2 linked regions of the Mus musculus genome follow. The protein of the gene in region 1 purifies or fractionates together with the protein of each later gene. This does not show direct contact. Links are inferred from orthologs where the notes say so. Each region holds a gene or a part of one and is shown on either strand. Other genes may lie near its edges.

Region 1 (7,174 bases):
GCAGAGGTCCTAAATTCAATTCCCAGCAACCACATGATGGCTCACAACTTTCTGTACAGCTACAGTGTACACATATACATAAAGTAAATAAGTAAATCTTAAAAAAAAAAGAATGTTACCAGGCAGTGGTAGTGCACGCCTTTAATCCCAGCACCCGGGAGGCAGAGGCAGGCGGATTTCTGAGTTCGAGGCCAACTTGGTCTAAAAGTGAGTTCCAGGACACCCAGGGCTAGATGGGGGAAACACAATACAAGAAAACAAAACACCAACAAAAAGCAAGCATACAGAGGCATTCTCCTGGTGGTGAGGGCATCAGCTGGAGAGAGATCCATGCCTTCCACTACACCATACAGACAACATGGAAATGGAAGAGCCTCATCCCCACCGTATTCTGGGTTGGCTTTATCAACCTGTCTCATCTCAAAGTATATCTATGCACAAGCAAGTGGCAACAAGGCCCATGCACCCAGGGGGTTTACATGGGGTTTTAACCACACAAAGCCCCACAGGTAAGGCAGAGCAGGACAACCACAGTACACTTGAGGGGTGGGGGGCTTCAAAGCCATAGAGCCATAGAGCTAGCAGCAGGTCACCAGCAACTTCCTCAACTCTCCTATCAGCTGGTACTAAGATCATGCTACTTGAGGCTACAGAGATGGATCAGTAGCCAAAAGTACTTGGCTAGTCTTCCAGAGGACCTGGGTTCAATTTAACATAACAGCTCATAACTATCTCTAAGTCCTGTTCCAGGGGATCTGACACAGATGCACATGCAGGCAAAACAGCAATGTACGTTAAAAAAAATAAAAATTAAAAAAAATTATTGCGACTTCTCACAGTGGGGATGACAGGAGCCAAGGGCACAGGTCTCTGCAGCCTTGCCAGGAACGGAGGCACTACACTACCTGACGCCCTGGCATGCATCCACAGTATGGTACTGGAAGGAGAAAGCTCTGTGTGCAGACTGGAGGACAGGACCCCAGAGGCTTGCCTGGAAGGTTCCAGACACTTCACCGTGAGAGAGACAACAGGAGTGCAGTCTATTAAGCCCCTGCAGACAAAGGAGCCTTTCTGCCCGCACCAGCTGTTGCCCGCCAAGCTGCCCCTTCCAGGCTGTGGCTGAGTGGGGATCACACAAGCAGGTGCAGCAGCCCTAGGCTTTGCCCTGCAGGAGCCACTCAGGAAGTGGGGAACACCAGCACTCCCATGGAGATACCTGGCTTTGTATCCTGCCAGTCAAGCACCTTACTGCAGGGCAGTGTGTCAGTCTGCAGCTTTTGCCTCAGTTTCTCCTCCTGGTTTTTATCTTGTGTGTGTATATACATGTGCCACAGCATACACATGGAAGTCAGAGCAAACTTGTGAGAACTGAGTCTGCTTTCACCTTGTGGGTCCTGGGGCCTTCACCCTACCAACCAGTTTCCCTTATAAAACCAGGTTTTCCCATGCACTCCTAGCTGGTCTAGAAACAGAAGCAATCCTCCTTCCTCAGTCTCTCCAGCACTGCAATGAGAGGCATGTGTCTACTTGCCCAGACCAACTCCTGTCTTGAGGAACCGTGCAGGCTCCTTATATCACCCTAGTGTGTAGGAGCTCCCCAGTCCTGATGACCTCCAGTGTTGACTGTGTCCAGCATCACTAATTCATGGGGGGGGGGGTTTACTTCAGGATCTAGGGACCAATCTCTCTCAGCTGAACCTGCCTGGCTCTGCAAGCCACACCCCAACCTGGGTGTTGAGATGGCAGGAAGCCTAAAGCAGCAGGTGAGGGCTAGGAAGTCGCAGACAGAGCTCTGGGGCCCTCTGTCACAGGCAGAGAGAGCACACAGGCTTGCCATGTGTTACAAGGACTGCAGCTGACCCAAGCCAGGATGCAGGCCTGGGCAGCCTCCCAGACATGGTGGGCTTCCAAGAACCATTACCCTGAAGCCAAAGGAAGCCACTTGCCTTGGAGACCAGCAGACACCACCTGGAGGTGAGCAACCTCTGGCACCTCCACCTTGAGACAATGATTTCAAGCCAGGAATTTCCAAGCTCAGGCCTCTGAAGGAACACCTGATGCTGGGTGCCCAGGTTCCCCAGTGCAAGACTGACCTAAGACCACTCCTACAAAAAAGGCCAAGGAGGTCCTGAGAGGAGCCTAGGCCACCAGCCTGCCCTGCTCCACCCCTGGGTCCACACATCTGATCCTGGATATCTGTCCACCTTCCTTTCCTGTACGTACCACTCAAAGCAGTGCCCAGCTGGCAAAAACAAGAAGCTGCCAGCCTTTCCTGGGACAGGACCAGAGGCAAGGTCAGTTAGGCAGAGTGTGGCCAGTGCTGGTCCCAAAGATAAGGCCCCTTCTTGGAAGCCGGTAGGTGAAGTTTTCCAAGTTCCGCCAAGCCTAGCAGGCGATAAAGAGTCCCCACGGGCCAACGACGCCAACTACGCGCACGACACCGCAGGGACCTGCGCAAGCACTGGCCGGCTACCCCCCCCACCCCCTTCACCATTATTTTTGGCCCCACCGGTTCCCTCTAGCTGCGTAAACAAACTAGCCACCCGCCTGGCAACGCCCGCCAAAGAAGCCAGGCGCGACTTGCGCCAGGACCTGGCCCAAAGAGGGGGGCTGGAGGCGCAGTTGGCTGCACGACCTCCTGCTAGGACAGTCCTGCAGGCTGCCCTAACATACAGACCCCACGAGGTGACGCTCAGGGATAGATGGGGTAGATAAGGCAGTAAAAGGAAAGAGATGAAAAAGGAGGAAGGAAATGAGAAGAGAAAACGGTTAGAGGAAAGAGAAGAGCCAGAAAGTAGGAGGAAGGGCTGCCCAAGGAGCTCAAGGCAGCGCCCGCGTCGGCCCCAGGCCCTTGGCACCTACTTCTTGACGTTGGCCTCTCCATTGGGGATCCTGCGCAGCTTTTTCTTCTTGAGGATCTTGACCGCCCTGCGGCATAAGGTCTCGGAGTCCAGCACCTCCTTCACCTTGCCGTACGAGCCCTCCCCGAGCAGGTCCCCCATCAGGTACTTGCCGATGAGCTTGGCGCGTTTGCGGCGCGGCTGGTAGATTACCTCGGTGGAGTCGATGCGGTGGATGAAGGTGTCCATGCCCACCGACATCAGCTCGCCCTCGGAGAAAAGGCCCAACGGCTCGGGGTCCGCCACGTCCATCCTGGCCCACTCTTTGTCCTCGTCCCCTTCGGGAGCGCCAATTCTTTTCAAGTTCGAATTCCCCCCCCCCCACCCGCTTCTTCCAAATGTTCCAAGAAGGGGAAAAAAGGAACGGGGAAAAACAGGAACGACCTCCACAACTCTCCCGGTCCCCACAACCGGGTCCACGTCCGCTTCCTGGGCGCCAATTCTTCACTTTTGATTTTCCCCTTTTCTTCTAGGTGCTCAGGGAGAAAAAAAATGAAAATAAGAATGAAAAAAAAAAAAGCAATGAGCCCCCCCAACCCTCGCGTCCCCCCAATTCGGGTCCCCGGGGACGCTGCTTCCGACGGAGGCGACGGTCCGCCGTCGCGGCGCGCGGGCCGCTAGGTCATGTTCGCCACTTGGGCCCCGCGCTCAGGGGCCCAGGCGGCCGCGTCGAGGCCGGTCCGCGCCGTCCATGTCCGGCCCGCGCCGAAGCCGCGCGCGGCCCCTTAGTTCTACGACTTCTCGGGGCGCAGACTCCACCCGGACGCGGGACACCGGGACACCCGCAAGTCGCGGACACGAAATCCGGACAGGAAATCTTCCGGGGACCGAGGGGGGAAAAAAACCACCCCAGGCGGCGCGTCCCCCTCGCCGCCTAGCCGCCGCGCGACAGGCAGGAGGCCGGAGCGGCGAGGGGGGAATCGAACTCCAGGCAGAAAGATGCTGCCCGCGAGAGACAACTCCACGCCGGCGCCGCCCTCGGCGACTCGCGCCTCACTCGCGGACGCCGTGAGCCGCCTCCCCTTTCCTAGACCGACACGCCGCCGCCATCTTGTTTACCGCCCTGCGCCGCGCCGTCGTCGCACGTCGCAACGGTGGACACGCCCCCTCGCGGAGCCGACGTGCGCGGCAGTTGGCTGTAGCTTTAGGCCCCACCTTTCGGACCCGCCTCAATCGCCAACGAGGATTGGGCTATTTGGATCTAGGTGGGCGCCCGAGCTGACATTGGACAGTTCGGGTTCCATCTGAGAAGGCGTGATCTAAATTCTCATTGGTTGTCTGAGACGCCCGTCAATGGGAGTAAGCAAGCGACTGTAAGGGAGCGGCCGTGGGCTGTGGCTTCAAGCCCCGCCCCTCAGTGGTTGGCCCTGGTGTGTGGGGGCGGGACTTTATTTGCCAGTGGCTGTCGCAGACGCCCGTCAGCAAGCGCGACGGGCCAGCGAAACCTCTGGGCTGGCTGTGGTGACCTCGGAGTTTCGGGCCTCCGGTTAGAGTTCACGCGCGTCAACGTCCTCCGGGGAACGGCCGCGACTGGAGGCATGGGGGAGGGTGGAGAGAGAGGCTCGTGGATCCCTAAAGAGATCCAGCCCAGGCTTGCTCTTAACGGCCTTGGGGGAGGGGTCAAAGGTCAAAAAGTAGCCCAAAGTCGACACTCCCGAACCTGAAGCCTTAATGTAGCGCCTCTGAGATCCATGGCATAGAGAGGAGCGTTTCCTGTGCAAAATAAGAGCAGCTGGGCTGGTGAGATGGCTCAGAGGTTGCGGGCGATTGACGTCAAATCTGACTTCATGAGTTCGATCCCCGTAAGTTCACAAGGTGGCTAGAGTGAAATGCCTCCCTCAGGCTGTCTCTGAACCTAGGGACTCCGTGGTAGGCGCGCGCGCGCACACACACAACACAGAATTTTAAATAACAGTTATCAAAAAAGGTGGCTGGGTAAGACGTCGCCGCTGGCCTCAACTCACCTGCTGCAGTGTTTTTGGGTGGTTAATCTAATTATTTTTATCTGTGCCCTTTTTTAACTGCACGAATAAAAAATAAGGGTTGGAGTATGATTGAGGGACGAGTGCTCACCCTGCCTGACTCCCTCTACACACAAGTTTACGCACAGGCCGGTTACAAGGTCCATAGATCCGTGAGTCTATGGTTCCCTCCGAGGCCACTAGGGGGCGGGGTGTACTGCCAGGAGAGTCCTGGGGGAGGGAGAGACCTAGACTCCAGGAAAGGTGGGAAAAGTGCTTGCTCTACATGTGTTCAGCCTTCAGGACTTAAAAGGAGGAGAGAACTGACTTATGCAAGCACATAAATTAAGAAAAAAGATCAGAGAAACAGACGTGAAGACAGAAATCCAGGGAAAACACAGACTAGACAAACAGAGTCAGGCTGGATGGAGGGACAGGTCAGGGGTGAAGAGCACTGGCTGCTCTCCTGAGCACACAGGTTTGCTGGCCAGCACCCACATCACACAGGGAGACTCTGGAGTTTCACCTCCATTTCATTGCTCTGACATTGCCTTAAACTATGGCAGTGATAAGGAAGTCTCCTCCTCCACCTCCACCCTTCCCCTGACAGACTCCAAGGACAGATCCAGAAAGAGTCAGGGGCAATAGACAACATTCTGTTTCTACCCGATCTGTACCTGAGCTCCCCCAGTGTGACAGCCTCTCATGTCCCCAAGACATTACCCTGAATTCTCTGACGGGAAGAGTTATCACTCTGGTGAGAACTCTGGGTCAGAGATATAGTTAGAAGTATTTAGAGATTTATCATATTTACCTGTGTGTATGTCTGTCACATTCAGGACCCCACTGAGGCCTCAGATACCTTGGAAATGGTGTTGCAAATAGTTGTGACCAGGCATGTGAGAGTGCTGAGAACCAAAACTGTGACTTCCAGTAGAGCAGCTACTTTGTAAATTTGGGAACTCAGTACCACTTCAATAACATGAATTATCCCTGAGAGGCCGCAGATTCCAGACCATAGAAGCACAATGGGAATGGTGCCTGGGGTGGGGGGTGGGGTAGAAGCCACCAGGAGGGAAAACTTCAGACTAAAGATGAAGCCTGCAGCCAGGCTGTTTCCATCCCTGCTGCCACATACGTCACACTTACAGGAGGCTCAGGCGGTGGCAGGAAAGAGTTCACCCTCAACTACGTAGTGAGTTCCAGGCCAGCTTGGGCTACATAGTGCTACCATCTCTGTATTAGTCAGGGTTCCCTAGAGTCACTCAACTTATGGATAGTGTCTATACAGTAAGGGAATTTGTGATGATGACTTACAGTCTGCAGTCCAACTTTCCAACTACAGTCAGCTGTGAATGAAGTCCAAAGATCTAACAGTTGCTCGGTCCCACAGGCCAGTAGATTCCAACAGCTGTGCTGGCAAAGAAGAGGGAGTCTTCCTTCTTCCAATGTCCTTGTAGGTCTCTATCAGAAGGTGTGGCCCAGATTAAAGGTGTGTACCACCCGGCCTGGATCTGGGACTTGTTTTTTCCCAGGCTGACCTTGAACTCGGAGCTCTCCCTGTCTTAGTCTCCTGGGACTCATAGTCACTATGCCTCAAGATCTCCATGCCAAGATCCAGGTCAGAAACTTGTATCTTCCAGCCTCCAGATCAGGATCACAGGTGAGCCTTCCAATTCTGGATTGTAATTCATTCCAGATATAGTCAAGCTGACAACCAGGAATAGCCATTACAACCTCCAAAGAAGCAGAAAACATAAAAATAAAAATATCAAAACTAGGGTTGGTGAGATGGCTCAGTGGGTAAGAGCACTGACTGTTCTTTTAAGGTCCTAAGTTCAAACCCAGCAACCACATGGTGGCTCACAAACACCCATAATGAGATCTGATGCCCACTTCTAGTGTGTCTGAAGACAGCTACAGTGTACTTATGTATAATAATAAATCTTTGAGCCTGAAGGAGCAGAGTGGACTGGATCAAGCAGGGCCAACCAGAGCGAGCAGAGGTCCTAAAATTCAATTCCCAACAACTGCATGAAGGCTCACAACCATTTGTTCAGCTACAGTGTACTCATATACATAAAATAAATCTTTTTTAAAAATATCAAAACTAGGCCAGCAGTAGTCATTTATGTCTTTAATGCCAGCACTTGGGAGACAGAGGCAGAGACATGTGGATCTCTTTGAGTTTGAAGCCAGCCTGGGCTGTAGAGTGCAAGAGTGTCTCAAGAAGAAAAAAAAGGAAAAAACTCTAATAAATGTTTGGATAATTTGAGCCAAAACACCCCACCAGAAACTGTCCAGTGAAAACCT
Region 2 (7,333 bases), on another chromosome or scaffold:
TGCTGAGAAGGACCAGCCCACTAACTTAAGGAATACCCACTAAAGGCAAGTGTTCACTACAGAAACGAGGTGACAGGAAGAACAACGTAAGAGCTCATTGTATGATGTGTGTGGTGGGCCCACAAAGAGTGTGTATGCATTCTGCTCTTACAGGACCAGAATCTGTTTCCTAGCTCCCATGCTGGGTGGCTCAGAAATGTCAGTGAGTCCACTCCTAGAGGATACAATGCTGCTTGCCTGGATTGGATCCCCTGAGCAATAAAAAGAACTCGAGTGACCCAGAAAGACCCAAAGCATGGCAACATGAGAAAGGAAGGCGGCAGGGGCAGAGCTATCATGTGTCAGGGCCACACCATGCCAGCCTCTAACCTTACACAACTGAGCCTCGAGGCTCCTTGACGGTTCCTTTTACAAGATGTATAGAGGGGACATAACAGTTATCAAAGACCAAGGTTGACAAAGTCCAAAGTCTAGTTGCTACTTTCAAATACACAGACAAAAAGTCTTGACCTGCAGATACCACGACCTTTCGATTATTGCCTGGTTTCATGTTAGCAGCAAAGAACACTTTCACAAGGCCACACGTGAAACACACCAGTAACCCAAAAAGGAAAGGGCAGTATGGACTACACAGCGAGACTCTGTCACAAACTTTCTGTTACCACAAAAGTAATAATGAAGAGGATAAAAGATACTGCCAATGAGCTAACTGCGACCTGGAATCCACAGCAACACCCTCTGCTCCTGGTCTATTCCCCAGAATGCCCAGTACTGAGACGAAGAATCACAATCAGCTTAGATCTAGCTCAAGTCTCAAAGGGAGTCCCAAATCAGAGCTGTCCAGTTTATCAGTACACGCTCCAAGGACAGCCTGAACGCAACATGACTTAACCACAAGGAAACACTACCTCTAAGGGCTTCCATGATTGGCTGCACAGTCTCTGACCACTGGTGGGCGTTGATGGTTGTATAGATCCCAGGGAAATCTCTTTGCCAGATTCGCTGTCCAACTGACCAAATTCCCCCAAGTTCAGAATTTGCCTGAAATAAAAATTGTTGTCTTTGAAAGCATTCACTGTAATTAATAATGATCATATCTTTAAAAATATCAGAAATGACAAAATTTGTTAGCTGTATCATTAAAATATACTCTATTCATTCATTTTAGGAGATGAAATTACTTTTCTGACAGGTGTATCCAGCGTGCAGGCCACAGGGCTAAGAACAGGTATAAACTGGGAACCCTTTTCTTCTAGGTAACTTGCATACCCAGTTCTAGACTATGAACTCTGCAGATGATAACACTGCTTTGCAATGTCCAGAGGTTGGCTCTGCCTGATTCTAAAATGCTGTGAGCAGTTATATTAACAATTTCTATAATTAATGTTTTTATTGCAACTACAAATGAAAGCATGAGAAAGTAAAATATACTTCAGAATGAAGACTTGGGATCAATTATTGTAGGCACTGCTGTTTAAATTTAAGACGCTAGCACTTCTCCATGGAAGAAAACTAGCAGAAAGCTGATTATCAAGGCCCTGTCAATTAGAGCCTACTTGCAGGGCTCCCACTCTTATCAGCTGAGCTGTTTCATTCTTATTGAGTGCAGCTCCCGTCTTACAAACAGAATGGAAAAGGAAGCAAGTGAAATAAATCTTACTTCCTTCTACCTGGCAAGACACTTTTCACAGGTTACTTCATTTATTTCATCTTCATCCCAAGTAAGACATCTAATTAAAACAGTGATCTTAATGCAGTGAATATCTGTGTAAACAATGCCAGTTTACAAATAGCTATCATTACAGCAAATCAAGTAGTCTGCTGAAATGCCTCAGCCCCTCAGCCCCCTCTGTACCGAACTGGCCAGTTCACATCAGCATGGCAGGCCTTGTGAAACCATCAGCACATGAACCATTCCATTAGAGAAACAGATGGTTTGGAACTTTAACCTTCACTTAACAACGGTTCCTGTGATATATATGGGAAAGAAAGAGGACTTGTAGGCTGTCATTTAAGTAAATGCCAGTATTCTAAAAGCAACAGGGGACACCGCAGGATTACTTACAGACTTTATAGCAGGTGGTATCCTCTTCCACAGATATCTTGCATTATTCCTGATTTACACAAAGATGAGTTACAAAATAGTCACCTCAGTCAATACATAAAATTACAGGCCGAAACACCAAAACAGGCCATGGCACAACTCAGTTTTATATGAATTTGTTGAGGAAAAGCAATTAAAAAAAAAAAAAAAAAAGGAGGACATGAAATAACCTTTTCCCAGGTTAATTAAAAAAATTTTTTTTAGGAGTTCTTTTTAAACTAACAATTCAGATCCTAAACCATAACAACACATTCAAACCACAGACTTACACACAACCACTCAGGTACAAACAATGTGTCCATTTCGAGGCTTTGGGTATCCCTCGCAATACAGGCATACACTGTGCTGTTATAATCTGGAGCCCTTCTCCTAGTGAGTCGTAAGACACACGATTATATGTATAATGAAGAAACTCAGTGTAGTTTCTGTAAAAATATCACAGTAGGTTTGGAACTGCACCAGGCCTCTATTCTCTAGCCCTCTCAAGCTCCTGCCTCCCACCCAGGAAGACTAATTCAAACATGTCTACCTCCCCTGGTTCTCCCAGTGTTCCTTCCCAGCCCCAGCTTTTTTGCTCCTACTGAGTACATATACAGTTGCTTTGGTTTTATTTGTTTGTTTGTTTAGATAGGGTTTCTCTGTGTAGCCCTGGCTGTACTGGAGCTGGACCTATAGACCAGACTGACCTCAAACTCAGAGATCTGCCTGCCTCTGGCTCCCAAGTGGGAGGATTAAAGGTGTGCGCCACCACCCAGTTTCTGAGTAAATATAAGTAAAAAGAAAAAAAAAACATGATTTTTTTTTTAAACTCCATTGGTTCTTGATGCTAATTTCTCACAAGAACTTACCATGTTTTTAGGTGTATGTAAGACATACACGACAAGAAAAATATCGAGCTTATTTATTCTTAATTATGACAAAAAGGGAAACAGATATAACAGGATTACAGTAAAAGACACCTATCTGCTGCATGTACTCCTGCATCATCTCAAGGAAGCTTTTCGTTTTAGGTAAAAGGTGCTACTTACATGTCGTTCTGGAGCAAGTACAAAGCTAGAAGCTGACCGTACACTGGCGGTGTGGCAATTCCTCCAGGAGCCTAGAGAGCGAAAAAAGAGGGGAAAGCCTCACTTCCTAATACACTTTCAGAAAAGAGAAAATGAAAACTTAAAAAGTAAGTTTTCCAGCACTACTATAGATGCAGAAAAATGCTTAGGGAAGTATCAAAGGTTAAAACCTGAGTTTAGATCTGTTGTGAGCTGTCATTTATCTGCAGTTGGATATCAGTTTCTTTCCATAGTCACAAATATGTAAGTGACATTACCTCGGAAGGTCAGGTCTCAAATTAAAAAAAAGGGGGGGGGGACTACTTCCAACAGGTTCTTAATGCACTATTTTTCTGGCCGTTATCTTAAAAGCTTAAGTAAGCTTAAGACAGAAGACTACCAAAAGGTAGTTATAGAGGCCTGTCTCTCTTCAATCTTTATTCATTCAGCAAGGTCTGCTAAAGGCTCATCCGCAAGCTGCTGCTGTCTCCTTTAGTCCGTGAGCCCCCGCCCTCCCTTTTTTTTTTCCTTTTTCTTTCTTTTTTATTTTTATTTTTTATTTTTGGGGTTTTCATAGTTCAAGCTGGCTTCGAATTCACCGGCAATCCTCTCGCCTCCGCCTGACGTGTGCCCACCGGAGTCCTGTGCCACTGCGCCCAGCCTATTTAGCGAACTTAACTTAACGTTACAAATGGAAGCAGCATCTCTTGATGAACCCGGAGTGTGCGCCCCGCAGGCCGCGGCCCGGCCCGTTACCCTGGAAACGGCGCCCACCCGACCGCCCCACCCTGCGGCGCTACCTCGAGTTCCTGGTTCTCGCACTGATCCAACAGCTTTCTGAAACTGAAGGCGTTGTCCGCCATCACCGCCACTGGCATCTTCCCGGCCGCTCTCGCCGCCACCACCTCTGCCAGACCAAAGCACAAGCTGGCCCTCGGGGCGTCGCGCCCGCGATGAGGTAAAGGAGCTGCCTCTCAGTACGCATGGGCGAGCGTGTCGTCACTTCCCGAGCGACGCCGTAGCGGAATACAAGGGCGGCGAGCGCTCTGCCCCAACGTCTCGGTGCTCTGGAGGACCCGCCCCAGGCTAGGACGAACCGGCTTTCTGAGTCAGAGCCCTGCGATCCGGAAGGGTTCGGCTGCGGCTCGGATTATCCGCACGGGGAAATGATAACGGGACTACATTTTTCCACAACCAAAGTTGCCGTGGGAGAACAGTAAAACCGTTGGACCTCCACGTGTTTCGAGAGCGCTGAACTGTACTTCTTCTAAGCTAAAGTGTTACATACAAGTCCAAGAAACTCCAAACCTGAAACTCTTCTTGGTTTGGGTTATGCACACACCCCTCTTCTAACAATTCACTTAGCAGCCTGACTCTCACCTACACCTACTATGCGCACGCGCACGCGCACACACACACACACACACACACACACACACACACACACCTTTTTCTGAAAAAAAAAAAAAAAAAATCACCTAGCAATTGTCAGCAAACCAGGACCCCTGTTCACAACCTGCATGGAACTGCATGCAGACAAACCCTCTCCAAGTAATGGGATAAGTTTCTTCGCTCTCTGCGGACCATCGAACAGATTCTATTCAGTAATAATCCAGTTAGGTGCATTATGAGGCCAGGAGGTCTGATCTAGCCTGAATTGGTTTTAGGTGCCTGCCCAGGAGGGTGAACCATGTCTTCTAAGTGAATTTGCTGAGAGAAACTCCTATTTACTGTCTTCTGCCTGTGCGTGCTTGTGAACGCTTTTGATTAAAATCAAATACATTTTAATAATAAAATTATTTAATAAAATTCAATAATTTTACATATTGAGACATGCACAATAGAAAAGGGAGGTAACATAACTAAATTGTTTTTTCTGTTTTTGTTTTGTTTTTGGTGTGTGTGTGTGTGTGTGTGTGTGTTTTGGTTTTTCGAGACAGGGTTTCTCTGTATGGCCCTGGCTGTCCTGGAACTCACCCTGTAGACCAGGCTGGCCTCTGCCTCCCAAGTGCTTGGATTAAAGGCTTGTGCCACCACTGTCCGGCAAAATTTTTCAATCAAAACAGAATGCAGTGCTCCTTAGCAATAAGACTCCTCTCAAAGCTCATAAAAACCCCAAACAGTAATTGGGGCTCTAGAGTATGCTGGCTCATGTGGCCAGCGGTCACTCTTGACAGCATATTTCTTTCTGATCTGTAGTATGGCTTTGCTTTTGCATAAAGTTTCCTTGCTACTTTGCAAACCTGGGTGCCTGAATTTCAGTTCTGGGCATGAGAGGTAAAAACACCCAGCCAGACCCTAGTCAGTGCTCAGACACAGCAAGCAATGGTCCGGACACCACACCTGCCCCCTGCTGTCTTCTCTGGCAGAACTGGAGACTGGAACACAGGCCTCGTGCATAGTTTTAGCACTGAGCTGTGCCCCCGGGTCTCCTTTTACTTACTGGTAGACAAGGTCTTACTAAGTAGCCCAGGCTGGCCTTGAACTTTTGGAAAAGCTCCAAACCTAACTCTCACTTCTCTCTCTGCCTGCCTCAGGCTCAGCAGACCAGCACAGTGTTATCACCTGTGTACCTGTGTACATCTCATGTGCGCGTGCACACATACACACATACACAGACACACACAGACACACCAGAGACACACACAGAGACACACAGACACACATACACACAGACACACACAGACACACACAGACACACACACACACACACACACACACACACACACAAGGTGAGTGAAGTCTTTCTAGCCTGGGCCAGTGGTGTGCCCGACCTTTCCTGGTCTCCTGATAAGCAAGTCCCCCTTCACTATTCCCTGCCCAACGTCTTTTCTTTGAAGCACACACCATACCTTTTTGTTCTTCTGCTCAAACGCATGTGAACAAAAGTTCCCATAAAGAAGCTATCCCTTACAGACTAATTGACTGACTGATTAACGTTTCAGGGGTTGGGAAGAGGTTGGGGGGTTGCAGGTTCATAGTATAATGGTACTTTATCCTGGCCTGTCTTCTGTTCCCTTGACAGCTAGCCCTTGCCCAGGTGTGTCTGACCTAATAGCCTTCTGACTGTTGAGCGAAACCATTTGAAATATCGTAACTCTATGGGCTCCTCCCTCCTTGGAACTGTGTACACATTGCTTACTCAATTATGCTGTGACTCACTTTCCTCCTGTGATATGGAGGCCTGCTGACCCTGTGCCATTTTTTCCCCCAGGAAGTTTTATGCTTGGAGTATGGAAGTCAACATTGGCATATAAAAGCAAGGAGCCTGGAAACCCCCTTCCCCACAAGGTTGACATACAGCAGAGTCCTGGCCAGCAGAATGTATGCACAGTCTGTGGTTAATGCACACTGAGCCTTTGACCTTTCTCCAGCTCTGCCCCACTTCATCTCTCAGAAGTGCATTTTTGCCTTACTGAACTCTCTCTTCTACTGTTCCTATCCACATGTCTCTGTCTATATCCTTGTTTAGGGACTTAAGAACCTAGAAATCTCTGGGAGTGCCCAGCAGACCCCATATTTGCCTATAACACTGGTGTACTGAATGCTATATGGAAAGGCAGTAGACATTCTTATGACAGATTTCCCTCAACTTGTGTGTGCTCTGTTTTCTTAATGTTCATCACTGGTAAAGCCCACATTTTAGATAAACATATTAAACAGTTGAAGACAGTAACAGCCAATGCTGATGATTTCAGTGTAATAGAGATTCCTGTTTAGAAACAATTATGTTTAAAGTTCTAGTTATAAAGATTAGGGGATGGAGAGATGGCTTGGCAGTAAAAGCACATGGTTCTCTTGAAAAGGACCTGAGTTTAGTTCCTACCACCCACTTCAGGAAGCTCGAAAAGCAATTGCCTATAACGCCAGCTCTGGAATCCATCACCTCCGAACTCCAAGAGTGCTGGTGCCCCTGCACACACACACACACACACACTCAATAATAATAAATAGTTTTAAATAAGATATAAAGATTTTTTAAAAGAGTTAAATATTTTCCAAGTCCTTAAGGAATTGCCATTACGTTGTAATTCTGATCTTTAAAAATCCACCAGAGAGTTCATGTGTTCGTTTAGGTCCCACCTGCGCACTCTTGGGGGCTGTTGGAAGCTTTAGGAGGTGGGAACTGGTGGTGGGATCTTGGAGTCACTGGGAGCATTTCTTTGAAGGGGATAGTGAGACA

Evidence for each region. Proteins that work in one complex are often made in the same cells at the same time.
Region 2: the proteins of Stk11 (region 1) and Cops8 purify together in Homo sapiens (affinity purification with mass spectrometry; 3 studies listed by BioGRID and IntAct, with this or other methods). This does not show direct contact. The link is inferred for Mus musculus from reciprocal best matches to the Homo sapiens genes STK11 and COPS8.

What each region holds. Positions count from the first base shown.
Region 1 is NC_000076.6:80,112,596-80,119,769, reverse strand, and holds the start of Stk11 (serine/threonine-protein kinase STK11), read right to left. Parts: upstream 3,976-7,174; 5' UTR 3,153-3,975; coding exon 2,863-3,152; intron 2,823-2,862; exon of another isoform or gene 2,183-2,822; coding exon of another isoform or gene 1,947-2,182; intron 1-1,946. UniProt on the Homo sapiens protein: Tumor suppressor serine/threonine-protein kinase that controls the activity of AMP-activated protein kinase (AMPK) family members, thereby playing a role in various processes such as cell metabolism, cell polarity, apoptosis and DNA damage response.
Region 2 is NC_000067.6:90,600,245-90,607,577, reverse strand, and holds the start of Cops8 (COP9 signalosome complex subunit 8), read right to left. Parts: upstream 4,154-7,333; 5' UTR 4,029-4,153; coding exon 3,951-4,028; intron 3,204-3,950; coding exon 3,133-3,203; intron 2,115-3,132; coding exon 2,066-2,114; intron 1,042-2,065; coding exon 909-1,041; intron 1-908. UniProt on the Homo sapiens protein: Component of the COP9 signalosome complex (CSN), a complex involved in various cellular and developmental processes.